6 linked regions of the Solanum lycopersicum genome follow. Each later gene encodes a partner of the first gene's protein in a complex. Links are inferred from orthologs where the notes say so. Each region holds a gene or a part of one and is shown in the gene's direction. Other genes may lie near its edges. The genes, in order: transcription initiation factor TFIID subunit 1, transcription initiation factor TFIID subunit 11, transcription initiation factor TFIID subunit 15b, transcription initiation factor TFIID subunit 5, transcription initiation factor TFIID subunit 15 and transcription initiation factor TFIID subunit 10.

Region 1 (5,159 bases):
TTTGGATGCACAATTGCAATGATAAGATTATATTATATTTTAAAAATAAAAGTTAATTTTTAAAAATTTATATCAAACAAATAAGTAGATTTATAATTATGTTAATTAAATATTTAAGACATATTGTCTTTTGAAAATATATCATGTAATTAATAAATATGTTCTTAACTAATATTATGGAAAAATAATTGATTTATATTTTTCAAATTAGTATATTTCAATTGAATTAAATATAAAAACTAAAAGTACAAGATTTCTATGAACATCATGAAATGCATGTTTGACAAAAAAATTAATATTATTAATAAAATGTCATTAATTGTTAAAATATTAGACAAAATGATAATCTATCAAGTCTAACTAAAAAATAAATGAATTGCATTGTGAAGTCTCAAGTCAATACTACTAAAGCAAATGTAACATAAGTTCTAAATTCAAAACAAAAAATTTAACATAATATTATTATGTCAAATTTCAACATAACATACATAAATATTATTTAAGAGAAAAATAAACTATAACCTTACTTAGCAATGAATTCTCTAGTTTAAAAGTTAGAATACTAACAAAATTATGCTAATGAAAAAAAAAACATTGTATAAGAAAATAGATAATATGTAAAATTGTATGGAATCACATGAAATAAAGGTTGAAAATGCGAAGGAAATGAAATATAAATAAAATAGAAAATAAATTATTAGGAGTTTTTAGAATAATAAAAATAAATTTTTTTTAAAGTATAAATTAAAGAAAATAAAACTAATAATAAAATAAAGAAATTAAAAAGTAATCAGCTTGTGGCTTGTAATTGCACCATGTAATTACCAACAATTCACAGTCCCTCCCTGGGAATTGGAGAGTATAATTACTCCTGCCAATTACACCCAATTACCTGCAAACCAAGTAATTACATGACCAACCAAACACATCAATAGTTGCACCAATTACACCAAATTCAATTACCAGGTGGCTTTCCAAATAGGCCCTTCTTTGTGTTATTATATCTGGACCTTGGTGTGTTCAAGCTCCAATGGGCTTCTAGGTCTTTATTCTGTTTTCTATTTTTTTTTTTTTGAAATTGGTAAATTGTATTCCTTCAGCATTAAGGCTATGCTGGCCACCTCCAAGTACTTTACAAAAAGAGAAGAGAGATACTCACAAAAAAGCCTATAAATTCCACTAATTGGATTTCCTCTTCTATACTCTGTTCTTTACACCAAAAACCTAGTAAAGTAATTACTTTCCACTTAATCTTCAAAATAGAGGATTCTTTTCCTTCAAAGATCCTCTGGTTCCTCTCCTTCCAAATGGTCCACCAGATGCAGGCTGGGACTGTCCTCCACCATATTTTTTGGCTTTTGCTTCCTCCTCTTCTGATAACAGCTAAGCAAGTCTGCAGTATGTTCAGGCATGATCCAATTGATCCCAGCAATGGCAGTGAACATAGCCCAAATTTGTGTTGTTACTTTGCAATGCATGAAAGGTGTTTGTTGGTTTCTAGTGTCTCCTTGCAGAGGAGGCATCTAGATGCTATGATGAACCCCCTTTTTTGCAATGCCTCATGTGTCAAGCATGCTTTCCTAGCTACTAGCCAAGTGAAGCATTTCACTTTATTAGGAGCCACACTTTCCCATATAGTATTCCAAGGTCCAGTTGACCTGCCTCCAGCAACACACAGTTCCCTTTTGTATACTCTGTTAACAGTGAGAATTCCATCATTGTGGTGTCTCCCAATGAGTTTGTCTGAATCTGTATTAATGCCCGGGAAGTTTCCTATTAGTTTTGGAAAATCTACTACCCATGGTATTTTCCAATCATTTAGGGGTCTTCTGAAAGTGAGGTTCCAGCCTTGAGGGGACCACATTTTCTGTATACTGCATCCAGTATTCAAGCTTATTGAGAATAGTCTAGGAAAAAGGGATTGAAGTGTGCCATGACCGCTCCAGTCCTCTTTCCAAAAAAGTATCTTGTCTCCCCTACCAACTCTAACTTTGGTGTTTAGCTTGAGAGTCGTCCATAGATTCCTGATAGATTTCCAAACCCCAACCCATATGTATTAGTCACTTTATTAGTGCACCATTGCCCCTCCGCACCATACTTATGAAGGATAATCTCCCTCCACAAGGCCTGATTTCTTGAGTAAATCTCCATAGCCATTTGGTAAGTGAACTCTTATTATGAAGCTTTAAGTTCCTCACTGCCAGACCTCCAAAACTCTTGCTTTGCTGAACTGCGCTCCATTTTACCAGGTTGAAACTTTTCTCAATCTTGCTTCCTTGCCATAAGAAATCCCTTCTCAACTTGTTTAAGATTTTCCTCACCACACCAGGGATGGGGGATAAAACATTACATATGTTGGCAGAGAATCTAGGACTACATGATCAAAACAACTCTACCTCCCAAGGAAAGGTATTTTGATTTCCAAAGAGCTAGTCTTTTTTTTGTTTTCTCTATTATTCCATCCCAAATATTCACAGCTTTGTGATTAGCACCCAATGGCATCCCCAGATAAATTGTGGGCAACTCCTCTATCCCGGACCTCAAAATACCTGCCAGAGATTGAATTTGTTGCACCTCTTTCACTGGAAAAATATTGCTATTCCCCCAGTTAATCTTCAACCCAGAGCAAGCTTCAAAGATCACCAGTATCACCCTTAGGTAGCAAATTTGTTCTTGTTTAGCTTCGCAGAAAATCAGTGTCATCAGCATATAATAAGTGTGTCACCTCCAAGATTTCATTGTTCCTGTTCTTAATGCTAAAGCCTTTTATCCAGTTGTTTGTTGCAGCCCTTCTCATCAGACTGCCTAGCCCTTCCATAGCTATGATAAACAAGAAAGGTGACGGGGGTCCCCTTGTCTCAGACCCCTTTCAGCTGGGAAAAAACCCAGGATGGAGAACCTGGTAGTTTTGATACAGAATTCTATCCACTTATTCCACCTTCTCCCGAATCCCATTTGCCTGAGAATGTTCAACAAGAAACTCCAGTTCAGGTGATCAAAGGCCTTTTCAATATCTAGCTTGCACATAACTCCAGGCACATCTCCTCTAATCCTGCTGTCAATGCATTCACTAGCAATAAGAGCAGCATCCATTATTTGTCTCCCTTTAATGAAAGCCATCTGGTGGTTTTTTACAACTCTGCTTATTACCTTCTTTAGTCTCTCAGCCAGCACCTTTGCTATGATTTTGTAAACCCCGGAGATTAAACTAATTGGGTCTGAAATCTCTTACACTGGGTTTTCATCATCATTCTGAAGCACACGGTTCAGTGTTTCATAGAGCTTACACTGGGTTTTCATCATCATTTTGAAGCCATTAGGCTTAATTCGACCCATCTTTTCTTTCAGAAGTCATTTCTCATTACTTTTCTTCCCTCTGTTTTATTAAAACAGATTATGATGAGAAGGCTGAAGATGCTGTAGATTATGAGGACATTGATGAGCAATATGAAGGACCTGAGGTACAAACTGTTACCGAAGAGGACCTATTGTTGCCGAAGAGGGATTACTTTTCAACAGAAATCTCTCTAACTACTTTGGAGAATCGTGATTCTGTTTTTGATGATGAAAACTATGATGAGGATGATAATGAAGAGAAGGAACAGGAGGTGGTAGAGAAAGCTGCTGAAGTTCAATCTACTCCTGTAAAAGGTTAGTTTAAAAGCATTTTTTTCTTGGGTACTGGTGTTTCGTAAATGCTTTTATGTTGTTACAAGTATTGATGACTGTGCAATATTTTGGAGTGTAAGTTTACCTTTTGATATTTTAATCTCTTCACTGATTTCCACTACTAGATTTAAAGGGCAGTTCCTCATGTTAGTTTGTTACAAACCTCAGTTCTATTACAGAAAGTGCTGCTCACCTATAAAATGAAATTGAAAGCCGACATAACCCAGAGTCCCATCTATAAGGGGGCATCAGAAAATAAAAGTAGAATTGTGAAAGCAAGATATTATCCTAGAAACAGGATAAAAAAAAGTTGATCCTTGAGATAAATCTTTGTGGTAGGTTTTTTTCGAACTCTTTTTCTGTTGCAGCTTTCTGTGCTAAATTTCATTTTTCTTCTAGCTTTTTGGTGAAATAAAATTGTTTGCAGCAGCTGTGAACAAGTCTATGAGACAATACTTTTTTTTTGGTGAGAGGGGGTCTTATGAGGGAAAGATCATGGGGGCGTTAGATGCCTTGACGCTACGGCAGGGCTCTGAATGAGCAGATAGATTTTGCAGTGGGAAGAGGTAGGGAGCTGCGGATAGGATGGACAGTATGTGAATTACAAGAGACATATTGCGTACTTTTATTCTATTTTGCTTCAGCTTTTATATTTAGGGAAAAGGGCCAAACTGCTCTTCAAGCTGATATCACATGGAACTAGTCGAGGCGAGCACAAGCTGGTCTGGACACCATGTTTTTTTTTTTAACAATCGCTCTCTGTTTGAATTTGGTCCCGAATTTGCCCTCATCGTTGAAGTACTTCCTCAGATTTTTGAGAAGAAATACTTGCTCAGATTTGCCTCTTAGAAAAAACGAAATTCACTCTTTCTTTTTCAATCATCTTTTTTTATTTTAGGGCCGAATATGTATTTAACTTCTGTCGCTGAAAAACAGACCCAAAAAAATATAAGAAAAAAAAGGAGATGTAACTTTTTTTCTTCCGAAATATACATCAAAACTAGGCACTTTGTGTTATGTATTGGATTAGTATCTGTTATCTTTGTTTTCCATCTCAAATATTCTGGACAACACTATCAAAGAACATTACTCCTGACCGTACCCTTCTATTCAATAAAAAAAAAGATCTTAAGATATGAAAATTTGATTGCTTTCCAAGATCTGTTGAGATATGAGGAATTAATTAACGACAGGGAGATTACTGTTGGAGGAAAAGGAATAAATCTTGGAGTTGCATTATTTCAGTTAAATATTTCTCTTTGCATCTTCACGTTAGACCTATTTGTCATGTTCTGTTTGTAGGAGAATACAACAATGAAGCTGAAGTCATTTCTCTTGGGAATAAGGTTCCAGAAGAAGTTATATCCATGGATGCTCCCGAATCTAGTGAAGATCTTCAAGAGGTTTGCCCTTTACAAATTAATAAGAAGAACTACTTATCATTTTGTGATCCTTTTATTCTGACTTGTAGCATGATGTGCATGTCATCT
Region 2 (5,699 bases), on another chromosome or scaffold:
GAAGTAGAAATATGCAAAATGAGTATAGAGAGAGAAAAAGAATTGTACCTTTTAAAAAATAATATTTATTTTAAAATATTTAATTTCTGATGTGTCATTAAAAAATAATAATAATACCGACGTGTCATTAAAAAATGACGTGGAATTCATGTGTAAATTGAGTGTAATACACGCACACACAAATAATTATAAAGAAGTTTCAAATATTGTGTTTTATTTAGTTTAGGGGTCCAGATGACAAAGGAGTAATTAGAAAGGTTCAAAATGCAAATCGATTCAAGTACGAGGGTCTACCAGACCATTCCGCCTTATATTTTTAATGTTCAAACACATTTGCATGCCCCTCAAGCACAAATTGAAAATTCAATCATATATTTCTTTTCATCGACACATTCTAATGAATCATTACACGGATGAATCTTATAATTACTTGTCACCACATCTGAAAAATAATTATAAAGCTCGTTAGCATCTTAAAAGAACATAATTTCGAGTGGATCATAGTTATACACACAATGTCTTGGTCATAATATGTGAATAAAATAATTTTTGACTTTAGTATATGCTTCATTATTATTAATAAAGCTTTAATTTAGGTCTTAACATATTTGTATTTTATAATTAATTTAATAGAATTCATTAATCATTATCTTTTTCATTCTACTCCACACCTTTTTTTTCAACATGTAGAAGTAACAGCTAGACAAGCTTATAAAGTTAGTTATTATTCCCAATTTTTTAAACGAAGAGTATATTCATTATAAATCATAAATTGAATAATATATTTATCTTTTCCTCCTTTATTTTCTTTCTTTTAATAATAATCACGATAAATAAATTAAACGGAGAAAATAACTCAAGATCTAAAATAGTAAAAGAAACAAAAAAAAATTCATATCATGATGCAACCAACTAAATATTTTATTGCAAATGTTTCATCATGTAAGCAATATCAAATGAGACATTTTTAATATAATTTTTTCAAGGTTAATACTTGCCACTTGAACCACTATCTTCATGATCAATAGAATGTGCGTTGAGTGAGCTGCATACACATGTTCCATCAACACAAATACATTTTGGAAACATATTTTCATGATTGTTACAATCATCTGTTGTGCTACATTTTCTCATGCCTGTCGCCACATCTAAAAAGTTATAAAACAATTGTTAACATTTTATAATACGTATTGACAAAGTAAAGAACTACAAAATCAACTGATCTGAAGGAAAAATGATAAGAGGAAAACAAAATAGACTAACCACAAGAAGCAATCAAGAAAGCAACAACAAAAAGTGCCATAATCGAAGTTTTGTCCATCTTTTTGTAAAATAATAAAACCTTTAAGAATTTTAGAGTGTTTCTTAGTTTTTATCGTACACAACCTTATATAGCATTTAGCATTGAAAACTTTCAAAAGAAAAAAATTTATTACAATAGTCTTGTTTTAGACTTTTAGTGATTTTCTTTTATAAATTTCTTGATTTGATTAATTGGTCAACAAAATTCTTTGTACTTAGTCAAAGAAATATTAAAATTCTAATTACTAACCATAAAAGAACAAAACTAAAAATGTTTTTAAAGTATGTGATATTCATTTAATTTGCTCTCCCTTGTATATGGGCCAAAATGAAAATAATTTGGTTAAAATCCTAGGCCCATTACTAAAAAACCATCTGTGATTTGTTTGGCCACAATTGCAAGAAGGTAAATGAAGGGTTGCGTATCGATTTCGTTTGATTTGAGGTTTATTGGTTATTGATTTAGAGATGTGCTAAATTATTTTAGAACTATTAAAATATTAACTTATCAGTTATCGATTTATTAATTATCAACTGTTATTGATTTGGTAATTTGTTTAACCGTTAAGATTTGATTTAAAATAATCACTTAAAAATACTGTGACGAACAAAATGAGTGGACATGTAAGTTCACATATCACATCACTGTTGAATAATCGAGAATTTGAGACACTCAAAAATAAAAAAGATAAATTTATATAGTAAATCAAGGACATTATCTACTAAATTGTATAAATATAATTCTTTAATTTACAATCAAGTTATTAGTTAATCCATTAAAAAAAATAATTTCAAATCATTAAAACTAATATCTCACTAATTAAAAAAAATCAAAATCGTTATTAAAACCGCTAAATCAATAATTTATTATCAGAGGCAATAACCTTTTTTTATTGGGATTATCTGTTTCCGTCCGCTTGAACTGCCCTAATTCATGAATCCAATCAAATCCGACCCGACCCGACCCATGAGCTAATCCAATTTAAACCCACAACCACATCAGCGAAATCGACCCGTCAAATTTCTTCAGACCGGCCGCCGGCACGCTCGCCGGAATTATCTTTGGTGAGAGATCAGTATCACAGAATTTGGCTCGCCAGGTATTTTTCTTTCTATTTGGATTGATCAATTATGATTTTGCCTAATATTGCAATGAACAATTTTTTTGGATAATCGTGGTGTCCGGGCTAGCTTTCGTGCAGTTCAATTGTTTGAAATCAGCTGGAAATCTTTCCGTTTATGACCTATTTCATGCTACAGCTGTTCACATACCTTAGATTTGTTCCGTGTTTATTTCGTTGGCAGAACCGATCCATTCCATTAGGGGAGGCCTGTTTCATGCTATAGCTGTTCACACTTTAGTTTTGGAAATGTTTTTAGGTTAAATCACATGCAAAGCTTGAATCTTTAAGGGTTGTTTGGTACAGGGAATGGGATAGACAAAGTTATCCTACCATATATATGATGGGATAAACAATCTCGGGACTAACTAATTTCCCTAACCAGATGCAGGATAAAATAGTCCTGCATTTTGTCTCGGAATTGTTATTCCTTATCCATCATACCAAACGACTCCTTATAGTCTTAGTTTTGTGACTTAGGATGTACCGGGAGGATGTCTTTGTATACCCACCAGGGCTTTGGTTATTGAGTGATGTGGTGGTTAGGCGTAAGTTACGTGTTCAAACCCTTTTGTTGGAAAAGCCTGGTATTTAAGTGGGAAGGGTAAAGGAATGAGCCCATTATACACCACAACAGACTGCAGGATCCTATCGGTTATGAAAAAGAAGAGAGGATATCTTATCATTGCTTCGTTGATGAAAATTTAACAGGGCAATAACTGCAGTTATATAACAAAAAATGTACCAGCGCAAGTAGACAACTACTTAACCTTTTGGTCTCACTTGAAATAGTACATTGTTTTTTTGTTGAAACTGATAACATGAAATAGTACAGTATTTGTCTTCTATATTTCATTTTTATCTTAATCTAGACATATTGAAGGATGGTGTAGCTTCTAGTTCAAACTTCAACAATGTTTCTTTGACATTGTTGCTTCATCCTTATCTTTACTTTCCTTCCTTCCGAATGCTTTAATCTTTTTCATCCTTGCAATGATCATTTGATTTGAGAATATCTGAGCTGCATCAGTTCAACTCCATTAATTTATCAATCGACCTGGTTGGAGAGTGTGGCCATTTTGTGAGGTCCAAATCAATCTAGTTATAATTTACCATGCCTCCCTAAAAAATTGTCTTGAACATATCACATTATTGTGTTGGAAGTTGGTATATCTCAATCAAAATGGATGAATGATTAGCATGGTGAATAATTTACTTGAATCTAAACATTCTGGTGCAGCGAATTCTATGAAGCGATCTAAGGATCCTTTTGAGGCTACTTTTGAGGAGCAGGATGACTCACCCCCTGAATCCCCTGCTGGAACCGATGAGAATGAAGGCCAAGATCAAGGTGCAGTTGGTGTTAATATGAATGAAGGTGACGATGTTAATACCGATTCTCGTGAAAAACCTTCAACATCTAAAGCTACATCAGTCTCTGTTAGTACTGCTGGTCCAATTAGCAAACCCAAAGAGGAAGATGAGGAGGAAGAGGAAGAAAGCATGGATGTGCAGTTAGGAAAACTCTCATCAAGTAGTGATCCTGACAAACTGGCGAAGATGCAGTAAGTTTGTCAGTTTATGTTTTCAAATATCTCGAACTCTTTCTGTTTACAAGGATTCCATTCACAGAAGATTGTCAAGATTGTATGCTATTATCCTGTTCTGTGATAGCTTATGTGGGTGGTTGGACCTGCCTACTGATCAATTTGCATAAAAGAATAACTCCTTTTCTGATGATTTCTATCCCTTCCTCTCACCTTCCTTTCTTTCCTTGTTGATTTGTTACTCAGACTATTAATTTAACTCTCTTTTGTATGCTGTATTCCCTCAGTATATCTGCTGTATCATTTTTTTTTTAACAAAAAGTATGTATATATAACCAGCAGGTCAATGCTTCTATTGAGATCTGTGAACAGATCTCATCTAGCTTGATATGCTTGATTTACTGCAGATAAACACCAGTAGGAAATATAGTAGCTGTTAAATAATAAATTGACATTTTGTATCAGCATTGTTAAGTAAGGGCAATATGGAGAATAACTAATTTAGTATGGAAGAAACCATATTGTGGTCAAGGCCAATAAAATGGGAATTGTACATTGCAGTTATATATATACTTGTTATGCTAAAGTTTTTCTTCTGCACCTCCTTGTTAAACAACAATATACCTAGTATAATCCCATAAGTGGGTTCTGGGAGGGTAAGATGCACGGAGACCCTACCCCTACCTTTGTGGGATAGAGAGGTTGTTTGGATACATCCCTGGCTTAAAAGGGAAGCTATTCATTGAAGGGTTGCAATAAGAAAACATGAAAACAAAATATCAGGACACATAGCAAAATGAAGCAACAAATAGTAGAAACACATAGAAAAATAAGAAACTATGCGAGTTACTAAATACTACTACTAATAAGGAGAAGAGGATATGGCATTGCCTCTCCCACCAAACGGGCGACCACACGCGGCTACCTACTAAATTTCTACTCTAATGCTCGACCTCCAGGCCTTCCTATCTAGGGTCTGCACCTCGTTTTTACGTGAGCTCAGTTTAGAATATTTTTCTATCCTATAATCAGCAGCGCTCTACCTGGTATTAATAGAGGTTCTATGACACTACAAGAAAAGAGGTAAAATTCCTTTTGAGGTAAGGTAGGTGAAGGGAGGTAGACATTTGGCTTCTCAAGTCTCGTACTTGTTATTCTATGTTGTCAAACTTTATTTGCTATCTATTTCCCATTCCTTCCAAATATGTGAAAGCATAAAAAGAGATCGAACTTCTCTGGTGCAACATACATTTTCAAAATATTCCTCGTCATTCGAACCCGAAATGTCTCCTGTTTCAATAACAGTTATAGGGTGATGGATGCTTTCATCCCAAAAGAAGAAAAAAAAACAAGAGAATAATTATGAAGCTATGGGAGTTGAAGGTTGTGATTTCAGATGTCATTCACAAGTAAAGTAGAATCTCTGATATGAAGCAATTATCACATATGTATTTTTAGATGCTTGAATTGCTGCAGCCTAGCCCTTTCTTTAGCTGTATCTCCTACTTCCACTAGAAAATAGAAAAACCATTTGCCATTTTTCTCTTATACCCGATCAGTGGTGGCTGCTATGTACCACCAGTACCTCCCTATTAAGGGATGGGCAACTCGCACCAAAATAGTCGTACTTGAGCCGAGGGTCTATTAGAAAGAGTCTCTGTACCTTCTCAAGGTAGGGGTGAACTTGTACACATCACCCTTCCTTAACCCCACTTCTGGGATTACACTG
Region 3 (3,764 bases), on another chromosome or scaffold:
CGGTTATGATTCTCAGTATCAGATTCATTCTGTCTTGTAGCATTTACGTTGTTCTTCTCTTAACTTCACGTGAACCCTTGCTGTGTTAATGTGGTATTGATGCCTGAGCTTAGACAGAAGGACAACCCAATACTTGCTACTTGATTTTGCAGACTAATTGCCATTGAATTGTGACAATAAAGAAGCTTACTTTTAATGACTTTCTCTTAGCATATATACCAGGGTAAGTGCTTAAGTTTCTTTTTAACGTGTAGGTTGCAAGAATCAAGCAAAAACGAGGTTACAAAGACCAGTGGCCTTGGAGCATAAAGCTATACACAGACGATCAAGGAAATAACAAAGGAGATGCAGTTCTGTCATACGAAGATCCTTCTGCAGCTCACTCTGCCGGCGGCTTTTTCAATAGTACAAACTAGACCCAAATTTATTCAATTGAGTTTACGCAGTATATTATTTACATGCTGACCATAAAATATAATCATCATCAGATCACGACTTCAGAGGTTACAAAATCACTGTAGCGATGGCTGAAAAGTCTGCACCAAAGCCGCCTCCGGCATTTGGTTCTGGGTGAGCCTTCTTAAATTACTGCATACTCTTTCTACTCCATTGCATTTTACCTCCAGTTGTGCTACAATTCACAGTTTATGTCAACTCACAACATGTCTTAGTGGTTATGCTGTGGAATGTATGCAGAGTTAGCAAGTGTGTTTAACTAGATAGTGGATGTATGGTTATTTTTATGAATTCTCCAGAGTTTTGGTTGTTTATCAAGTAGATGATCAGAGTTGTTCTTGCATCTGATGTTGACTCTAATTGCTGTGCCAAATTTCATACTAAAGTTGCATGCCTAAAATTCATACTTGATCGCATAGGGTGTCTGTATTGAAGTTTAATTTCAATAATTATTTTCAGTAAATTGTTAACATCATTGATACATTGATTTGTTCCCAGAGAAAAGCGAATTAAGCAATCAAATTTCATCTCTATAACTTGGTACTACATTTGTCCTTTATGAGGTGCATGGGAACCCGGTTAATCATAATTGTGTGGCTTCATTAGTAAACATTTTTTCTTTATCCTGCAAAAATATATTCATCAGCATCATCTATGTATATTTCAATGTAAAACTGTAAAGTTACATATTTCAATAGTGCTTTCAAGAATTAGTGTTTTTGTAATTTTTTTTGCATGTTGTATGTTGTAATTGTGTTTTTAATCGATGTCCATTTTTGCTACTTGAAAATCCACTTGCTGATTGACACCCTATGCATTCTTCCTGCCCTATGTTCTTTCTATTGCCATTTAGAACTGTTTATATATTTTATTGGCTCAAGGTTTAGAAAATGTTTAATCTATTGGATTGAATGAAGAATATGTTGTTTCTTTTATATTATATAGTTCCATCGGGTTAATGATATATTTGGCTGGCTTTATTTAAGCTGAGGGTATATCGGAAACCACCCCTCTATTTCTACGAGATAGGGTAAGGTCTGCGTAGTCTACTACCCTCCTAGACCCTCTTGTGGGATTGCACTGGTTATGTTGTTATTTGTTGGGTTAAATTTATAAATGGGATGGGGGACCTTTTGTGTATGCTGAACTTACGACTCCCTGTGCTAACCTGTATAGTAAATATATCTCTTATGCTCATGTCTGTCTATACTTTGACAGCCGTGGCGGTCGCGGAGGTTATGGTGGTGGTGGTGGCGGGCGCAGGGATAACTACAGAGACGGTGGAGGTTCCGGCCCAGATAGACAGTTTCATGGTGGAAATCGTTCACGTCCTTATTGAGTTCCAGTCGAGCATTTTATGTACTAAAATTTGTGGTGGGAGGGTTTTTTAGTTAGTTCCATTTCAAGATATACTCTCTGTGACTTAAAAGAGGTAGGCTGTTAACTCACTTCCATTTGAGCAATATCCACCTTCTCTTCTTTCTTTCTGCTACTTGGGGTTGCGTAAGGGGTGGGGTTTTCTAGTTCAGAACCTTTTTTGATATGTTGAATGTTTTGATAGAGGCGATTGGATATTCTGCAAATTGCTGCTAAGGTAGGTGAAATATTCAGGTGAGTGTTACTACTGTGGAAAACCGATTACTCTGGTAATTTAAGCTGAATGATGTTTGGTCTCTTTAAGTGATTTTGCTTGCATTTTGGAAATGCTAGCATCTCTGCACTAGACCCCTTGTATAATGAATTTGTTTCCTATATGATGTTGCTGTTAATTACTTGTACTGTTTTCTTTTATTGTGTATCTGCTAGTTCAGTTTCTCTTCCATGGAAGAATATGGAGGACAAGTCTCTTGTACTAAACACATTTTTCAGCATGAATGGCGGAGTACAATGGTGAAGTACTTGGTAATTTAATTGTAGGGATTAATGTTTGGATCAGAAAAAAGACATCCGACCACACAGCTATACAAATAATGATGATGTGTTAGTTACAATTTGAGAAAACAAGACTGTAAATTGATTGTTTGGTCTGAGTGCTTGCATGTTGGTTCTCAATCTATTCACAGGAAATAGGACCAGTGTCCAATTTTTTTGTCGTTCTAAATAAAATTCCGAGTGGCAATAGTTTTTCTTTGTGTGGAGCATACATTGGAAGTAGCTTGAATTTTCATTTTGGTACTTCTGCAGGTTTTTTGTACCCCATTTTTAGCCATGTGTCTGTTTTTATCATTTTCAAATTTGGTACAACAAATGAGTACTTTTTAGTGGGTAGTAGGATATTCTAGTTGTATGACCTTGGCTTATTCTATTATTCATACTATTCAGTCAATTAGCATTTAGACAATGTTTTTAACCTTTAATAATCCTTAAGAAGGTCTTGAGAACATTTATGTTGTACTGAATAATGGTTCATAGGCTAAACGGTTGTAAGATATTGTTTTCCTACAACCTGGAGGCACTGTTCTGCTATCGTATTGTTAAGACTCTGATGTGTCGATCTAAATATTATGTTTATTGGGGAGTTGGGGATTGGACATCATGTGTGAAGAAAGGTCTTCTGATATCTCTCAAGTTACCATGCAAATAAGATTTTGATGATTTTAATGTCTCCTGAAGGAAGGCGGCGGACAATGGTGCAATTCGTGATAATACCCAATATGGTGTATCTGATGTTTCGTTCAAAGTGCAGCTGAAATTTCTCGCTGTCGAGACCTTGATAAAAGTAGTGGGTTTGTGAAGAATAGTGTGGATATAGATCCGAGGTGGAGAAATTGTTTTGATACATTCTCGACTAGAAGTGGTAGTATTAAATAAAAAGAAAGCAGTGCAAGTTAATAAGGCAAAACAAATTTACTACAAAGGAATTCTAATCTATAACAAAATACTATATATTAAATAGTCGTACAAATGGAATAAGGTAGACGTAGTGGTCGAAAGCTTACATGTTGCGATCCCCCGTTGGGCTCAAAACGGCTATGCACCCAAACTCGTATTTTAGAAAAGAAAACAAACGAATGTAAAACTTGTTACAGATACAAAAAATAAAATTCTACGCATGTAACATGTGAGTTTTATAAAAGGTCTCCACAAATATATTTAAAATTCATAAATTTAAAATTTGAGTATTTTCATCTTACCATGTAACAATCTTCTAAGGTGAAAGGATATCTAGTTTCCACACTGAACTTTCAAAGTCTGATGGTGACGTTGAGTTAGAAATTTGATGGACAAACTTTTCTCACTTGTAATAAGAATATGTAAAATCAAATATAATGGTGAATATTTTATAATTGTATACCCACATAGTTTTC
Region 4 (5,946 bases), on another chromosome or scaffold:
TAGACGTGTTAATTTAAAAATGAACAATTTAAGTAATTAAGAACGTGGGAAATAAAAAAATATATCTAAATTATCCCTTTTTTTAGTATCACGCGTAAATTATTATAAATGTAAGAAACACACTTAAACTATCACTCGTATGTGTTTGGTGTATGTATAGTGTATTGCACGCACTATCTTTTTTTAACCAAAGAAAAAAAAGTTTGCGACTTTGAAAAAACAATTCCGTTAAATAAGTTTATAAAAGATTAAAATGAAAGTGGGCTGTTGATAAATATAGAAGTAAAAGGATAATATAAGAAGAATGAGGAATAAATTTCTTGTCTTTTACGTTTACGTGCGAAGACTTCTTTTTTTTTTTCATTAATTTTATTTATTTACTAGTATTCTTTATTAATTAAAAAAAATTGACTCTCATTCATCATAATTAACTCTTTAAGTATTTTTATTTTCTCCGGTACTAATTATTAATTTCTTGATATGAGTGTTGCCTGTTTATTCTTTATCAATTAATAAGTATTGAATTATGAACGTAATATAAATATTATCAAGATTATATTTAAATAGTAGCTTTAAAAAAATATATTCCCTTCGTTACATTTTATGTGACACAATTTCCTTTTGGTCAGCCTCCCCTCCCCCCCCCCCTCCCCAAAAAAAGAATCACATTTTCTTATATATGGTAAGTATTTAAATGTATAATTCATTTTTTACTCTTGTTGGTCCCATTTAATTTTAAAGATGGTACATAATACATTTATGAGGAGAGAGAAAATTGAGTTGACTTTTTTGAATGACAATTTAACAAATATTTCAAAGTCTTCATTATTTCTTAAACTATGTGTCCGGTCAAATGTTGTCACATAAAATGGGACGGAGGGAGTACAAGTTTAAAACTGATGAATATTATTATTAGAGTTCTTTTAATTTAACGATTCTTTCAATCCTTACCGACATTCTTGATAAGTAAGATGATTAGATTGAAACTAAAATTTGTATTCTCTTGGTTATATATTTGTAACACGACATAAAGTCAATGGAATATGAATATATTAAGTTAACACTATGTTTATGCAAGCTCAAATTTTGGTGTAAAAAAACTGTTTTTCCTCAAAGTTTCAGCAAATAAGGCCACCAATTCCTAAAAAAGAAATAAAATTTGAATTGTTTAGTTATCGCTGGAGGTTTGCTGATGTATTCGAGATCTATAAGTTTAAGAGATTTTTGTAATTTAATTTGAAAAAAAAATAGAAATAAGATGTAATTAGCTCGTAGTACTATGTAATTCGTGCAACTTTTATAATAAACAATCATTTTATACATTTCCTCAAATAATTATTGTTTAATTATCATCATCATATTTAAGACTTTTGAATTAAATAAAGTCCTTATTTGATTTAAGTAAGAATTTATGATATTTAAACTTCTAAATTAATTACCATTTTACCTTTTATAGTCAAACTTTACCAAAAAAATACAGCTGTTTCGTCTACATCAACATTTTTTTCATTTAGGTTTTGATTCAGGTTGCCTTCTTGCATTTGTTATCATCATCCTTCATTCAGGTTTCGATTCAGGTCTACCCCTTTTGAACAATTTCTTGTGTTTCTATTTCAGTTGAAAATTTGGAGAGAAGAAGCATGTCGCAGCCGCCGAAAAGATCAAATTAAATCTATCATGCAGGACAAATCAAAGGTTTATCTCTTTTCTTTTTCCACCAATCTTTTTCTACGGAAATGGTGGTTCTTTGATTGCCGCAAGATTTACTCCTTTTAAATACATTCGATAGTTTTTCTGCCATTTAAAATGTAACAATATATAACATTATTATCATAGTAATTTTTGTTAATTTGATTATTGCTCTTTTTTCTCTCTCTCTAAATGTTTTCTTAGACTACAAGTATTTGTAATAAATATTTATTTTATTATATTTGATTATAGTTAAAATAAAACAGATAAAAAGATCAAATAAGTAAATGATTTATATACGACGTGGCGTTGAATGCAAATACAAAAGAAAGAGAATGGAATAATAATTGACATTCTTTTTTGGTCAATAGAATTTAAAAGATTAATCATTTTTTTTTTTTTGAATGTGAGGAGTTTCTGATTAGCCAACAATCCACCCTATAAGCACAGTTCATGTTACCATCACTTGATGAAATTTACATTTAAGGCTAGGTGACGCCTTCTTATCACATAAGACTCTGAAAATAAAACTTCCACTTTCTCAATCTCATATCAATACGTTGGGTGTTACTTGTCAATCTTTCCGTTTTTAGATAATACATCCAAAATACTTGAAACTATCTCTCTTTTGGATGACTAGTATATCAAGTCTCACTTCTCCACATCAGCCTCATGCACCACATTGTTAAATTTGTACTTTGAGTATCCAATTTTAGTCATGTCCTCAGCCCGAATCATTCACTGTAAAGTCTATTTATAAATCTCTATGTGAACGTTAACTCCGTCGCTAGTCTCACCAATCAAAATTATATTATCTGCAAATAACATATACTGTGACACCCCACCTTAGATCTGCCATATTAATACATTTTTTAAATATTAATTCTTAGTAGTATTTCAAATATACATGATTATATACTATTGTCTCACCGGTTCACATTAGCATAAAAAAGTTTGCATCTTTTGACTCTAGTTTGTTGTGATAATCTTTGATTTTTGCTTCCGAAGATAAATAAATTTCTCACAAAATAATATATTATGTCCTTAAAAAACTTATTCTTCACTAAGCATATGGGTCCATTTAAAGGGCAAATCTTGTGATTAAGAGAGAAATTGGAGCCTAACCAAAAAAATATAAAACAAAACACCTTCCATAAACAAAGTGACGACGACGTCGTATTAAGTCCCTCCAGAAACCCCAAATCAAAATTCTCGGTCCTATAAACCCCAGGTGTTTTCTTCTTCTTCTTCCCAATTCTCAAAATCTTACCATTTCTCGCCATGGATGAAGAAGAGATTGAGAAAGCAGTCGTAGCGTATTTGAAGAAGAAGGGTTTCAAGCAAACGGAGATTGCTTTTCAAGAAGAACAGCAAGTGAATAAAAACAGTTCTTCTTCAATCCATAATAACAACAACTCAGCAAATTCTCAGATTGACCCCGACTTAACCAAAAAAATCCTTTCTTTCTCTGAGTAAGTTTCTTTTTTCCACTTAATTTGATGTAAAAATTACTGTTTGGCTAAGAGGATTAAGTTCTAAAATCAATTTACCTTGAAAGATAGTTTAATTTCAATGAAACACGTTTAAGTAGAGAAGGATTGAGTACAGAAGATCTGAAAACTAGTTTAGGGTTGAGAGGTGACTTGGTTGTTGGAAGAAAAGCAGGAGCAATATAATTGAAGCAGTTTTTCTGCACCCTCCAGTAGCATTTCTGCAAATGCCCAAATTGACCCTGAACCGTCAGACAAAAATAATCTGTTCTCTGTAGATAACATAAATTTAATTACTGGACCCATTCTAAAGAGGGAGAAATCAGCACTACTTGGTGAAATAGGTTCTTTTTGAATCAATTGTCCTCTTCTCCTGTATTTTAAATGCAGAGTGCTTAGCCATGAGGTTGCGGTTCTAAATAGCATTGACAATGCCCAGAACCACTTTTGAGGTACTAGCACACTGTCTAGGAATTGGAAAGAGAGGATCAAAGGAAATTTGGCGGAAGAATATCCCTGTTTGTATCTGGTGGACGTTATGAAAAAAAAAGGAATGAGAGATATTATGAAGGGAAGGGTAGCAGCACACAGAAGATCAAGATGAGATCTCTTAGTATTATATTTTTTTGGTGTAAGCAAGATTTAGTGGGGACAATAGATAGCTTAGTGGAGATTATAGGCCAACTGTAAATTTTTGAAAGTTTGTTTTTGGATTTTGAGTATGATGGCATCCCCTGGGGTTTGTAAATTCCTCCTCATCAGTCTGATGAGTTCTTTTGTGCGGATTTAAGTTACCTATTTCAAAATAAATAAATAAATAGAGGGGATGTAGAGGAGGATTTATGAGCTGACCCAAAGTCTCAAACTGTTTAGGATTGAGGCTTCATTAGTTGTTTCAAGAAGGGAAGCAACAATAATTGTGTGTTTGGTATGGAGGAAGCTTTGGTGTTATTTTACATTCTATTAGTGACATTACACTTTGGAGCTTCCTACTTTTAGAATATTACAGATATAGATGGATAGATGTTATGGCTCCGTTTTCACACCGCCTTACACTAGCTGGAAGTCTTGACAGCTGTATAACGCATACTTTCTGGTTATTTTCTTAGCATGCATCTTTGATATCATTCTGAATCTAAATTTTTATGTTTTCAGATTTGAAACCAGTCCCCAACGATACCAAGAAGAATATAGCAAACTTCGGTCATGGGCCTATAGTTCACTGGATCTGTATAAGGTTGGTCCCCTGACTTGTGCTAACAGTAACATGAGAAGTAGTTTATGCAGTATCATGATGCATAGCTCCTCATGACATGTAATGCACTAATAATAGGTCTGCCACCAGTAACACCATAGGAAATAAACATAAATGGAAAGGAAAGGCTTTCATTTTCTCTTTTATTTAGCCCTTTTTAATCCTTAACATAATGTATTAGTGATGTGCACCTTGACCTATTAATACTTCTGCTGCTGTCTTTCTGGCAGTGACAAGGTCTTCAAAATTGAGTTCTCATATTTGTGATTCTCAACTCTAGTTCATTGACTTATGCTATAAATGTAGCACCAGTGATGGATTTAGTACTGTCTTCTACCATTGCGATCATAATAGCGAGCCAAAAATAGCTCTTCATAACATAAGCATGACAAGCGTGCCGTCTTCATACAAGTTAGGTTGTGTGATTATACAAGCCAGATGAAAAAGTGATGAAAATGGTTCCATATGTTTGGTAGGTTCAAGTTGGTCCCTTAATACTCTTGAACAATTTTGGTCCTTTAAGTTCACCAAAAGCGAAAACACCCTTTGGGGGGGGGGGCAGTGGTTTGGGCTTGGGGCTTCCATTTTGGAGGTTTCAAGTTCGAAACCCCTTGCTAGCAAAAGCAAGGGTCCAGTTTAGAAAATCAAGAGATAATTTACCTTTTGTGTCCTTTGTTATTAAATACTATTTATCATCTAACACATTTTCCAGAGCATTAAATTTAATAAAGTCAAAGGATAAAATAGTAATGTTACCGCTATTATTTATTGTTTCTTAAGGGTGTGCTAAGTCAATAGTAGACAACTATTGTTGGACCAAGGGAGTAACATCTATAGTTTCAACGTTTGCCAGCTTGCTAATTTTGGTTTATTTTTGGAGGATGGTGCAGCTTTTGAAGTGCAATTTTGCCATCTTTTAATATCTATTGTGTGGTATATGGTTCAATTTTTGGTGTTGCAATTTTCAAGATAGGACAGGACTTTTTGGTGTTTTTGGTTGGATAGTTATTTTGACCATTCCGATGAAGTCTACCCATTCAAGTTCTGTTTAAAAAAAAAAAGGGTCCAACCACTTGAGTTCTGTTTCAAAAAAAAAAGTCTTAACCATCCGAGTTTGTTAAATATTTGTCAGAGACCAAATGCTCACTTTTGGCAAACTTAGAAAACCCAAATTGTTGGGGGGTATATTGAAGGACCACCTTGAACCTATACTCAAACATAAGGAGCCATTTTTTCTCTCTCTCCAAGTTAGACACTTCCTTTTGACTTACTCTTTAATCTTCAAGATTTTGTGGTTTCCTGTAATAGCTGAAGCTACCTTCCATTTATTTTTGTCCATTTCTGTCTACCTTGTCTCAGTCCATTCCAGATTGCCTCTCTCTTTCTATTGGAATTGAAGGATGTGCTGTGTGCATCTGGATTTTCTCCAATTCCAACATAATCTGATATTGATTGAAAAGAGGGAAGTTAAGCTAGCTAACGAAGGGGTTGGGATCCGCCTCGCCCTTAAAG
Region 5 (5,597 bases), on another chromosome or scaffold:
TTATTAGGGATAATGCCCAAGTACCCCCTCAACCTATGTCTTAAATCTCAGAGACACACTTATACTATACTAAGGTCCTATTACCCCCTTGAACTTATTTTATTAATATTTTTTTACCCCTTTTCGACCTACGTGGCACTATCTTGTGGGTCCAACGATGATTGACTTTTTTTTCAAACTAGTGCCACGTAGGCTAAAAAGGGGTAGAAAATTACTTATAAAATAAGTTCAGGGGGGTAATAGGATCTTAGTTTAGTATAAGTGTGTCTCTGGGATTTCGGACATAGGTTGAGGGGGTACTTGTGCATTTTCCCTTATTATTAGTATTAGTATTAGTATTAGTATTAGTATTATTAATATTTTATTATTTTTATTATTCTATTATTATTATTTATTTAATTATTCTTTATTATTATTATTATTATATATTATTATTATATTATTATTACTGTTGTTGTTGTTGTTGTTTTCATATTTTTTTTATTATTATTATTATAATTATTATTTATTATGTATAGTTATTATTATATATTGTTATTATTATTATTATAGTTAATATTATAATTAATATTTTATTTTTATCTTTTATTATTATAATTATCATTAGTATTATTTATTATTATTATTATTATATATTATCATTATTATTATTATTATACTTATAATAATAATGATAGTAATAATAATAATAATAATAATATAATTACAATAATAATAACATTATATTATTATTATTATTATATATTATTATCATTATAATATTATTATTATTATTTTATTATTATTATTATTATTATTATTATTTGTTATTATTATTATTTATTATTATAATATATTATTATTATAATAATAATAATTATTATTATTACAATAATTATAATAATAATAATAATAATAATAATAGTTGTTATTATTATATTATTATTATTATTTTCATATTAAATCATTATTATTATTATTTATTATTATTATTATAATTATTATTATTGTTATTTATACACAATTTATGATAATAAGGAAATATGTGAATGATAGCAAAATATAATTACTGATGGATGTAAAATATAAATTAATTTTGTTTCAGTTTTTGAAGTATAAAAATCGTAAATTAATCAACTTTTATCATGTTCACAACATTTATGGTATTTTAGACATTTTGATTAAAAAAGTGTTTACCAGCACTTATTTGTCAAACACATCAACAACCTTTTTTTAATTTCAGCACTTTTAGCCAAACACATAACTGCGTATTTTAAAAATAAGTTCCAACATTTTCAAAAGTACTTTTTAAAAGCTACTTTTAAGTCTATCCAAATGGGCTTTGAATCTTCACTATATAAATATAAATATAAAAACAAAAATTTTCTCTTTTCTCTTTAGTTTATACAATTTCTTCTACACTGTATAAATATACTAATTATACTATTCACCAAACAACGATAAATCCATAGTTTGCTAACATATGTTTTCTCTTTTCTCTTTACTTTATACAATTTCTTCTATACTGTATAAATATACTAATTATACAATTCACCAAACAGTAATTCTTCTGAGTTTACAAACATAAGCTTTTTCTTTTCTCTTTTCTCTTTACTTTATACAATTTCTTCTGCACTGTATAATATACTAATTATACAATTCACCAAACAGCTATTCATCCGTAGCAAACTACAATTTTGTTACGAAATGTAATTTTGAAAAGTTTGTCATTGCATAAAATTAAGAATTTTATATTTGTTATATGTGAAAGTTGTCCAAGAAATATTGTGTAGTTGTTTAATTTTTTTTTTCAAAAAAATAATTGTTTGTGCACTAGGCTCAAATGGATTTTGAACTCTTAGGCCCAAATTCGTGCAATGGATAAAAATGGACCCAACCCAAACACAATACATATTGTTTATTGGTTTCTGCCCCAATTTCAAAGGCACTCTTATTATACGGCGAAGTTGGCGCCGGCGAAATTGCTCTCTCTCCGTTGTTCTCCGGTGGATCTCTTCAGTACAGCCCCGGCGTAATCGAGTTGTAAGTCCCTCTCTAGATTCTTATTGTCAAAATTAAAACCCTAATTCCATTTTCACTCATGACTTGCATTGCTTCGCTTGTAATCTCACTGTATAACAAACCCTAGAATCCAACTTGTATAGTTCGTCGTGGATTGTACTCGAATTTACATACTACTTTCTTATTAATGGCTCCTAAATTCTATGTATTGCCAATCTGCCTGCCTTCACACACTGAAAAAGATTCAAGACTTATAAATATATTTTTTTTCCATGTGTTGTGGGTTTCATCTCCTTTTCGATAGGGTAAGATGAAAGTCATTAAAAATATACGTGCTGTCCTTATTGTATCAACCTATCGGAACATGATAGGCTATGGTAAAATTCATCAACTTTAAATCAACTCTTGTTCGGGTCCAAATAGTTTAGAAAATGCATGAAGGAGCAATCTTTCGAACTTTGTTGAATTTTTTGATATCTCTGTCCTTGCCACTATACATCTCCTGGCATATCCCAACAGACAGCAAACAAATTGAGAAATGACTGAACTAGCAAGGCTTGACTACAATAGAGAAATAGGTTTCTGCTGCTTTCCTGGTAACATTCACAGAAGAAACATCTACTGCACAAGGACACACCTTCTCTTTCAAGATTGTCCTGAATACAGGCATTCCTGGTTGCTTTTGGTTCCAACTCTACCAATACAAGTTACCTTGGAGGTACCTTTGATTTCCAAATAATTTTCAAAGGCTAATCCATATCTCAATCATGGGATTGCTTTTGTAGATCATAGCAACTCTTTACAGTAAAGTCTACTCTTTCTAGCCAGCCACTTCAATGAATTAATATTAATATCTTTTGCAGATACAGGTTGCAGAACCTCTTTAGAAGACCAAACTCATAACTCTCTAGTCTTTCCCAATCTTTGAGGTTTCTTCTAACTTCTAAGTTGTAGATGTTATCTAGTATTAGAGAAACAAACAGCCATCAGTTTATCATGCACTTCCTATTTAATGAAGTAGGGACCTCATTTTTTAGTATCACAATATCTAACTAGTGATCCAGTCAGAATCTGATGCATTTGCCGATTCCCACAACTCTGCTAGTAAAAGAGTTGAACTACCTTTAATAAGGATAAATATGCTTCCAAATAGTAGTTTCTATTAGTTATTAGTGATTTTAGGAGTCCACTGGTCCTCCTTGCCACATATGGTATTGATACTTTAGTTTTCATCTTTGAGTCTCCAAAGCCATTTGATTAGTAAGCTTTTGTTTTGAAGCCTGTTGTTCTGGTTATGGTGCATGTTTTTGTCAATGTTTAGCATGTCTTGCACTGTATTGTTCTCCATTTTTGAGCTATTGCAATGCTGGAACAAAGAGAGCAGGCTGTGCAAGAAATCCCCAAATACTTGGAATAGCATTCCTTGAGCCATTTGGTGGACTATATGGCTTGAAAGAAATAGCAGATTTTTTCTTAGGCAACTGAAGAATCAGACATACCCTTAAACAAAACTGTATACTTTTTTCGATCTTTTTAGTGCAAACTGGTTATTGAACATGATGAAGATGCTAGCCTAGATGCAATAGTGGATATGCTCAATGCCTCAAATCTCAATCTTTAGTTACATTTTGTGGCACTGACTTAGTGCAAGTACTTATAACATCATTGATAAGGAAAAAAATAGTGCGGGAGAGATATGAAGGATCATATAGCCAATACTAATTAGTTTGGGATGAAGACGTAGTTGATTGATTGATAAATCAGAGTTCCTGATAATTTTCTCAACTTGTTGCAAAAATTAACAGGCATCGACATGTGAAGGTCCCTAGTAGTGTTCTCAAATTGGGTATACTCGAAAGTATTGTATTCTACACGTGCTTTTAGCCCATTGACCTGAAATTCTATACTCATAAAGGACAATAACTACTTAGCTCTTTCCTTAATGTATTACAAGATTGCAGTAAGAAAACATTAACCAATTTCCAGCTGTTTTGGAAAATTTACTGCCAAGTGGCATTTGTCTCTAATCCCACCACTTAAAAGTTGGCTTCGTCCCAACTTCCTCCCTACACCCTATCTTATATAAAAAAAATTTCTTTAGTTATCTCTTCATTTCTTCTGGTTTGGTCCTTTGACTTGCACATACTCTGGTGCTTTTCTCAGTTTAATATGATTTGCCTGTAGTTACTTTTAAGGACAGGGGAACTGTGGCAGGACTAATACTAGGTTGTTGCTTTATGCAGTTCTTGGGGTTTTTATTGTGTCATTGGATTTGATGAAATTGGAGCATAAATGGCAAGCTATTCAGGGAAAGGATCTACATTAAATGGTTCTGTGTATGTCTGTAACTTGCCCCTTGGTACAGATGAAGATATGCTAGCTGAATATTTTGGCACAATAGGGGTGCTAAAGGTATGGTTGTGAACAGGTACTTCTAATTATGTTCGAGAATGTTTGTTATATGCTCTCTCCCACTTCCCCCTACTCTGCTTTGAACAGATCACTTTGATTTTTTTATTCTTTTCTAAGGATTTGTTTTGCTTCATGTTGTAGAAAGACAAACGAAGCGGTAGGCCCAAGATATGGTTATACCGTGATAAAGTTACTAATGAGCCCAAAGGCGATGCCACAGTCACATATGAAGACCCTCATGCTGCATTAGCTGCTGTTGAATGGTTCAATAACAAGGATTTTCATGGGTCAATGATTGGGGTATTTATTGCAGAGTCTAAGAACAAAGACGAGGCTTCCTATGTTTCAGTGAATCAAATTAGTGAGCCCAATCTGAACAGTGGTCTGGCTGTGCTGGATGAAGGCTCCAACGATATAGATGGAGGTGGCGGAAGAGGTAGGGGCAGGGGAGATGCTTCTGCAAAGGCATGGCAACAAGATGGTGACTGGCTGTGTCCAAATACAAGGTCTGTGATATGATCATTGGTGAGCAGCTCGTTCGTGCTCTACTGTATCTTCTTCAATTGTCTGTTTTTACTTCGAGTAGTCCAATATGTTTTTGTGCTTACAGTATTTGTAATTAATGTATAGCAGTTGCACTAATGTGAACTTTGCATTTCGTGGAGTTTGCAACCGCTGTGGAACTGCTCGGCCTGCTGGTGCTGGTGGCGGTGGGGCTGGAGCTGCTGGTCGCGGGAGAGGACGTGGTAGCCAGGACCCAGGCGCTCCTGGTCGTGCAGTTGGTGGTCCTCCAGGCCTCTTTGGTCCAAATGATTGGGCTTGTCCGATGTAAGAATCTTCATTTTCATTTTGCAACCTATTTTATTGAAATATGATACTCCCTATCCCAATTTATGAGACACATAACGGATTTCGACATTCAAACAAGTTTAGCTTTGACCGGAATTTTTTCATATACCTTTTAAATATTTTAAAATTGTCAATTATTGTAACTAATAGTACTTTCTACGTAGTTTACAAATGTATAAATTTCATTTTAAAAAAAATTGAAGATTCCATGAGCAAATTCTTGGTATAACTTAAACTGGTTGAATCTCAAAAAATGAAATGCGTCACATAAATTGGGACAGAGGGAGTATAATTTTTCACCCGTAAACTGCCTGAGCATATTCCCTGCACGCACT
Region 6 (5,954 bases), on another chromosome or scaffold:
TGAGATAATGATACTTTAGTTCATAAAGAATTATAATGATACGATCACTTTACTCCACTAATGACATTTTTAATTCTCTTCTTTGCTCAATGATTATTGCTGCTTTACTCATAAGCTTGAGTGTTTTTCCCACTTAGTATCTATAGCAATAATTCAAACGAAAGATTTGTTTATTTTACCATTAAAACAACGTTGTTAATGAGATGAATGCGATCTTTTTATTTTTTATTAATCGAGTCGAACGAGTTACTAATATACTTTAATATATATTTCGTGAGATTGAAAGCACCTCAAAAAGGCTAAGGATGTCATGGCATTTCTATCTTACTTTTTCATACACCATGTGAAACGAATCCAGATTAATCGAATCACCAAACATCAACATATGAAATGAATATTATTAGTATAAAAAGTACAAAAATTTCCTACATTTAGAGGCTAATTACATTTTACTTCGAAACTTTTCCTAATTACAGAAATTCTAAATTTTTCATTATTCTTAGATACATTCTGTGTTTGTCCGATACATTGCAAATGATACTTTACTTAACGAGAGGATATCCGAATATGAATTTTTATAATTTTTTAAAAACAAGAAATTTCAAAGATAACAATATATCATACTATCTCCGTCCATCTTTTAATTGTCTTAATTTCCTTTTTCAAAGTCAAACGATAATAACTTTAACTAATATTTTACGATATATTTTTACATCACAATGATATGCAAAAAAGAAAATTTGAAATTTATAATAATTTTGGTAAATTTTTTTCTTCTCATTAAATTTTATGATTCCCTATTGATCACTTCACCCTTCTTTTTAACTTACTTTTTCTCTTTTCACTATTCATCCACTAAATTTGTTTCATATAAATACACACATATACCATCTTTGCATTTCTCAAGCCAAGCTAAGTTTTATTTTTCTTATTTTCTTTGTTCTAAAAGTTTAATATTCGTTTCGCTCGCAAAAAATTTAATAAATTTTTCTATCGAAAAAATAAAATATTAGACATTTCATCTTCGAAAATAAAATAAAAATGCGAACAGTAAGTACCTTTACTACTGCTTCTCCATCAGTCTCTCCATCGGCGATTGTTCAAAAATCGCCATGGCATTCGCCGGCGCCGTATCTATTCGCCGGCGTAGCGTCCATGCTAGTGTTAATAACTTTTGCTTTAGTAATCCTAGCTTGTTCTTACTGGAGACGATCCGGCTATCCGAGAGAAAACGGCGATGTAGAATCCGGCGACGGCGAGAAATCGACCGGTGATGTTTTCAAGGCGTCGCCGGTTTTTGAGGAGAAAATAGTTGTGATAATGGCTGGAGATTTGAATCCAACTTTTTTGGCTACGCCTATTTCGAGTAGAGGTAATTCGTTTGGTGCTGGTGATAAAATTGAGAAGAAATTGGAAAAGGAAACTGAAGAATTTGATGATGAGAAGGCGAAAGATGAAGCTATGGATCAAGCTCATGAAGAATCTCAAATCGGCCATTGATGAAGCTACTGAGCTTTGAAAAAAAAAAAACAGAGCAATTTTCTCTATTTTTTTTTTTGAGTTCTTCCATTTTTGGTTTAATTTTTCAATTTTGAGATTCGGGAAATTGTACTCAATTTTGGTTGAGATAACAAAGAGTTAGAAAAAATTTTCGTTTTCGAGTAATATGTTTTCACGGAAATTGTTACTTCGATTTGATACGTGTTTTATTAGCTAACGATAATCATAAGAGTCATTTTGCTAAAAAATAAATAGATCGTTTTTAAATTTTTCAATGAAAAAAGTAAAATTGATGATATATTTTTAATATAATGAATGAAAAGAGTAGAATCAATTATATATCGATTTAGAAAATGAATTATTTGAAGAATCTCGAATGTATGTGCATATGTGACGTTTGCGATTTTATATCTATTGTGATTTACTAATTATATTTGATAATTTATAGTAATTAAATATGATTTAAAAATCATGCTTATTCATGCAATTTATAGGTCGTATCTATCGAATATGATATATAGTTAATCTATAAATTGAGTTACTATTAATATGTAATTTATAAATTATATTTATCTAATATAACTTTCAAATGATGCAAATCAAATGTGATATTAGTCATATTTGTGAAACATGATTTATAATCGTGCTTACCAAATCATTCAAGTACCAATTAAGTTACTCAATTGTATTGTAATTAAATTAGTTATCAAATAATATCCAAATTGTTTACTCAATAATAATATAATTCATTTTAATCTTCTATGATAGAGAAGAATAAAATGGCTAACATAAGTGATTATGAGTGTGTGTATATATATATATATATATACTTCAATGTAAATTTTAATTGCGTTTGGTTTGATAGAGAATAAAATAATTTAATTATATTTTTATTTTATAATTTTTTTAAATGTTATGAACTATCAAATTTAAAAAATAAAATAAAATATAATTTTTTTTTTTACGAAATATTATCGTTAGCTAGGTAAATATATATGCCCCTCTTCGCGAACGAATTTCACATAACAAAAATACAATTCTCCTCTATCTTAGGCCTTTTCTCATTTTTTTTCTTTTTTGCACAATTGTGGAGAAACAATTTTGAATTTTAAAAAATAATCAAAATTATAATATTTCTATATCCTAGAAGGAAAATAATATTACTTTTTCAATATGTGAGTTTAAAAATAATTTTTATATATATTTTTAAATATTTTAAATTATCGTAACCATAGTAATTTTACTTACCTATTACTAGAATATTTTTCTTCAGTTTCTTCTTCCGATTTTTTTCTCAAAGTAAAAAGGCACAAATCTTCCCCAATTTTCCTCCGGCGAAATTGAAACTCCGACCACCGCCGATCCTCCGTTGACTCTGTTTCGACGGTGAAGATGAACCAAAGTCAAGGTCAACAAACAAGTGAAGGAAGACACGAGGATGATGCTGTTCTAGCCGATTTCCTTGCTTCCTTGATGGACTATACTCCCACTGTGAGCTACTTTTTGCCCTTTTTCTTACTGAAGAGATCAATTTTATGTTTTATTTATGTAGGTTAACGCTTTTGATCAGATTCCTGATGAATTGGTGGAGCATTACTTGGGTAAAAGTGGATTTCAATGTCCTGATGTTCGATTGTATGTATTTTCTTCCCATTCTTATGTTGATGTTTCTGCAATTTAGCCTGCTTAGATTAGTTATAGAAAAATTGTTTGGATTGCTCATAAGGAAGATATGATTTTCGTGTGTTTATCTAGAACTATTTTCACTAGGTTTATCCTCTGTCTTGAGCTAACCGTAGTCTTTAAACTCGAATACGATGAACGCGCTCCTCAACCTACGTTTATTTTGCTTGGCGTAGCGAAAGCTCTACACTTTTGCCAAGTGAGCTAAGCCCTGGGGGTTCAAAGGGAGATATTATGTTACTGCAGCAAACAAATAAATTGGGCAAAGGTGCCCATATAATGATGTAAAATCCAGCTTGGGAGGATGTCCTCCCAAGATATTTCCTTCAACGAAGTAATAGAAAACTTAGCTGAATTATGTGCTAGTTTTGTTTAGACTTCTCGGAATATGAACAAAGTCTACATGATCAAGCAAGCTCTTAGCTTCCAAATGTCTTCACAAGTCACCTCTATCTCCCATGAGGTAGTTAACTTTTTCCTGAATCATAATCAATAACACTCTTTGCTTCCAATAGGATTCTCACATCCTTCCAATTGTTCCTGATTGTACGTTCAAGAGCCACTCTTAAAGCAAGTGCTTCAACAGTCATAGCTTTTCCCGCAAACTGGATTGGGGAAACATGGGCATGAATCAGTTTTCCAAGGCTTTCCAGAGCTGCAACACCAATATTTGCCAGTCCAGTATCCACCTGTAAACCTGCATCAGTAAACAATAATATAACATCTTGGTGGGTTGTTGGTGGAGCCGCAAGGCAATACCCATTTTTATGAAAATTAGATGAGCAATTAGCTGAATATCTTTATACTCGTAGCAATCAAACAGTGACTAAGCGGCAGTATTCTCTAGTTCCGTTTTTGTTTTGATCGTTTTCTATTTATCTGGTTTAGCAGTAAATTCAAGTAAAATTTATATATCTGTGAATTGGATTGGTATTTACCTTTTTACAAGTTGTAAATTTTAATATTGTAGCATTTGATGTTTTGTTTGACAGTGATGGCTGGTTTATCTTATGTTATCAGTTTTTAATACTGTGTTGTTGTATTGAGTTTTTCCTTTGGATATGCAGAATAAGGTTGGTGGCAGTTGCTACTCAGAAGTTTATTGCAGATGTGGCTACTGATGCTCTCCAGTATGTTTCTTAATTATTTTATTTTTCTTGAATTCTGTTTCCTCCTCCATCTTATGTTAAGTATGCTGCTAATTCTTCGGCATATTGCTCATCGATTGTCCCCTACTCTTGAGGCTTCAATGCAATTGTTGCCTGTCTAGGTGTTTGTCATTGTATGATCCTTCCAACTTTTAAGTGTTCAAGTTGTTCTCCTCCCCCAAACCTTAAAAAAACTCTTTTTGGTTCGTCTCTAATGAATTAGAAACATTAAGTTGGTAATTTTAGAATCCAAGCCTGTTATATTTTTAAAGACTGCCGACCCTAACTTGACTACACTACCAAAAATACAACACCTGAAATTCTCTATTGTTAGCGCAATAATACTACTACCTCAGGAGATTATTGTGTCTGTGACACTCCAAAACCTTAGAAAAGAGACAAAGAAACAGAAAAATACAATATAAAGAAACTAAGATATGACTTGAGTAGACATGTAGAAAGACCTTGTTTCAGAATATATGATTACAAATAACAAAGCATCCAACTTTCTCTGAACTTCCTTTCTTAATGTTTCCAATGGATTGTTATTTTCCTAATGCTTCTACTGGATTGTGGTAGATCTTCTCAACTGTGACAAATCAGTTGTGTTTTGTTTCGTTATCGACTCAAGATTTTGTGAATGCCTCACTTTACTCACTATTTTGCCTTCACTAGTCGTAATGAAAGTAAAACTCATGAAATGCTGTGAGTCTTTTGAGGATAGATTATGGCTTTATCATCGGAAGAAAGAATAAGAGTTTATGAATGGTCTCTTATGTATCCTTCATGTTTAGAAAGAAATGGATATTTATGAAACGGGCCATTCCAATAGAGAAACAACATAATGCCAGTGGTTGAAAGCAGGCAGGTCGATGAAAGTTAGGATATATCAGGAGCAAGGGGTATCTCCATTGGTATTCTGTGTAGAGACTAGAAATATGGTTGAGACAACAAGATGGCAGTGGTTGAAGGAAGGAAAGTTGATGACTTGTGGGTAGACCAGGATAAAGACACCCTCATTTTTTGTGTTGAGACAAAATATAGTTGAATTTTGAAATTCTTGTTAATGTCTTGGAAACCGAGCTTATATTAGATTAACTTTCTTATTTTTCATGGTAATGCAGACATTGCAAGGCAAGGCAGTCAACTATTGTCAAGGACAAGAGAGATAAGCAGCAAAAGGTGCTTCACTTTTTTCTCTTTTCATTTTCTTATGTTTATTGGTTCTAACTCTGTTTTAGCAGGACAAACGCCTTACCTTGACAATGGATGATCTTTCAAAATCTCTACGAGAGGTAATCATTCTTTGCTGGCCTATCAAAAAATAATAAAAAGTTATTCATCATTATAATTTCATCTTATTTATTCTATAAATAGTCTGCTGTATAATGCTTTTGACCAATCGAGTGGTCCATCCTTGTAGAACCTCTCTTGTTTCTTCTTCTCCAAAAGGCTGTTCTTGCGTTGCCAATATTTTTATCACTTCAGCGATACTTTTTGCATATGAGTGTTCTCCGTAACCTTTGATTTGCATTGCAGTATGGTGTTAACGTCAAACATCAAGACTACTTTGCTGATAGCCCGTCTGCCGGGTTAGATCCTGCTTCAAGAGAGGAATGATGT

What was found.
Region 2: transcription initiation factor TFIID subunit 1 (region 1) and transcription initiation factor TFIID subunit 11 share a complex: the UniProt entries of both Arabidopsis thaliana proteins name them as parts of the TFIID complex. The link is inferred for Solanum lycopersicum from reciprocal best matches to the Arabidopsis thaliana genes HAF01 and TAF11.
Region 3: transcription initiation factor TFIID subunit 1 (region 1) and transcription initiation factor TFIID subunit 15b share a complex: the UniProt entries of both Arabidopsis thaliana proteins name them as parts of the TFIID complex. The link is inferred for Solanum lycopersicum from reciprocal best matches to the Arabidopsis thaliana genes HAF01 and TAF15b.
Region 4: transcription initiation factor TFIID subunit 1 (region 1) and transcription initiation factor TFIID subunit 5 share a complex: the UniProt entries of both Arabidopsis thaliana proteins name them as parts of the TFIID complex. The link is inferred for Solanum lycopersicum from reciprocal best matches to the Arabidopsis thaliana genes HAF01 and TAF5.
Region 5: transcription initiation factor TFIID subunit 1 (region 1) and transcription initiation factor TFIID subunit 15 share a complex: the UniProt entries of both Arabidopsis thaliana proteins name them as parts of the TFIID complex. The link is inferred for Solanum lycopersicum from reciprocal best matches to the Arabidopsis thaliana genes HAF01 and TAF15.
Region 6: transcription initiation factor TFIID subunit 1 (region 1) and transcription initiation factor TFIID subunit 10 share a complex: the UniProt entries of both Arabidopsis thaliana proteins name them as parts of the TFIID complex. The link is inferred for Solanum lycopersicum from reciprocal best matches to the Arabidopsis thaliana genes HAF01 and TAFII15.

Annotation. Positions count from the first base shown.
Region 1 is NC_090806.1:3,247,463-3,252,621, forward strand, and holds part of transcription initiation factor TFIID subunit 1, read left to right. Parts: intron 1-3,393; coding exon 3,394-3,651; intron 3,652-4,971; coding exon 4,972-5,072; intron 5,073-5,159. UniProt on the Arabidopsis thaliana protein: TAFs are components of the transcription factor IID (TFIID) complex that is essential for mediating regulation of RNA polymerase transcription. Core scaffold of the TFIID complex.
Region 2 is NC_090804.1:5,060,528-5,066,226, reverse strand, and holds the start of transcription initiation factor TFIID subunit 11, read left to right. Parts: upstream 1-2,194; 5' UTR 2,195-2,402; intron 2,403-3,663; 5' UTR 3,664-3,671; coding exon 3,672-3,988; intron 3,989-5,699. UniProt on the Arabidopsis thaliana protein: TAFs are components of the transcription factor IID (TFIID) complex that is essential for mediating regulation of RNA polymerase transcription.
Region 3 is NC_090805.1:50,539,056-50,542,819, forward strand, and holds the end of transcription initiation factor TFIID subunit 15b, read left to right. Parts: intron 1-254; coding exon 255-405; intron 406-488; coding exon 489-570; intron 571-1,674; coding exon 1,675-1,795; 3' UTR 1,796-2,228; downstream 2,229-3,764. UniProt on the Arabidopsis thaliana protein: TAFs are components of the transcription factor IID (TFIID) complex that is essential for mediating regulation of RNA polymerase transcription.
Region 4 is NC_090805.1:43,575,455-43,581,400, forward strand, and holds the start of transcription initiation factor TFIID subunit 5, read left to right. Parts: upstream 1-2,620; 5' UTR 2,621-2,970; coding exon 2,971-3,161; intron 3,162-4,334; coding exon 4,335-4,416; intron 4,417-5,946. UniProt on the Arabidopsis thaliana protein: TAFs are components of the transcription factor IID (TFIID) complex that is essential for mediating regulation of RNA polymerase transcription.
Region 5 is NC_090810.1:45,838,145-45,843,741, forward strand, and holds the start of transcription initiation factor TFIID subunit 15, read left to right. Parts: upstream 1-1,868; 5' UTR 1,869-2,022; intron 2,023-4,244; 5' UTR 4,245-4,293; coding exon 4,294-4,413; exon of another isoform or gene 4,414-4,429; intron 4,430-4,554; coding exon 4,555-4,919; intron 4,920-5,043; coding exon 5,044-5,241; intron 5,242-5,597. UniProt on the Arabidopsis thaliana protein: TAFs are components of the transcription factor IID (TFIID) complex that is essential for mediating regulation of RNA polymerase transcription.
Region 6 is NC_090811.1:67,584,957-67,590,910, reverse strand, and holds the start of transcription initiation factor TFIID subunit 10, read left to right. Parts: upstream 1-2,520; 5' UTR 2,521-2,892; coding exon 2,893-2,991; intron 2,992-3,070; coding exon 3,071-3,135; intron 3,136-4,250; coding exon 4,251-4,313; intron 4,314-5,455; coding exon 5,456-5,513; intron 5,514-5,575; coding exon 5,576-5,626; intron 5,627-5,870; coding exon 5,871-5,951; 3' UTR 5,952-5,954. Other genes in the region: protein GLUTAMINE DUMPER 2, read left to right, coding at 1,042-1,500. UniProt on the Arabidopsis thaliana protein: TAFs are components of the transcription factor IID (TFIID) complex that is essential for mediating regulation of RNA polymerase transcription.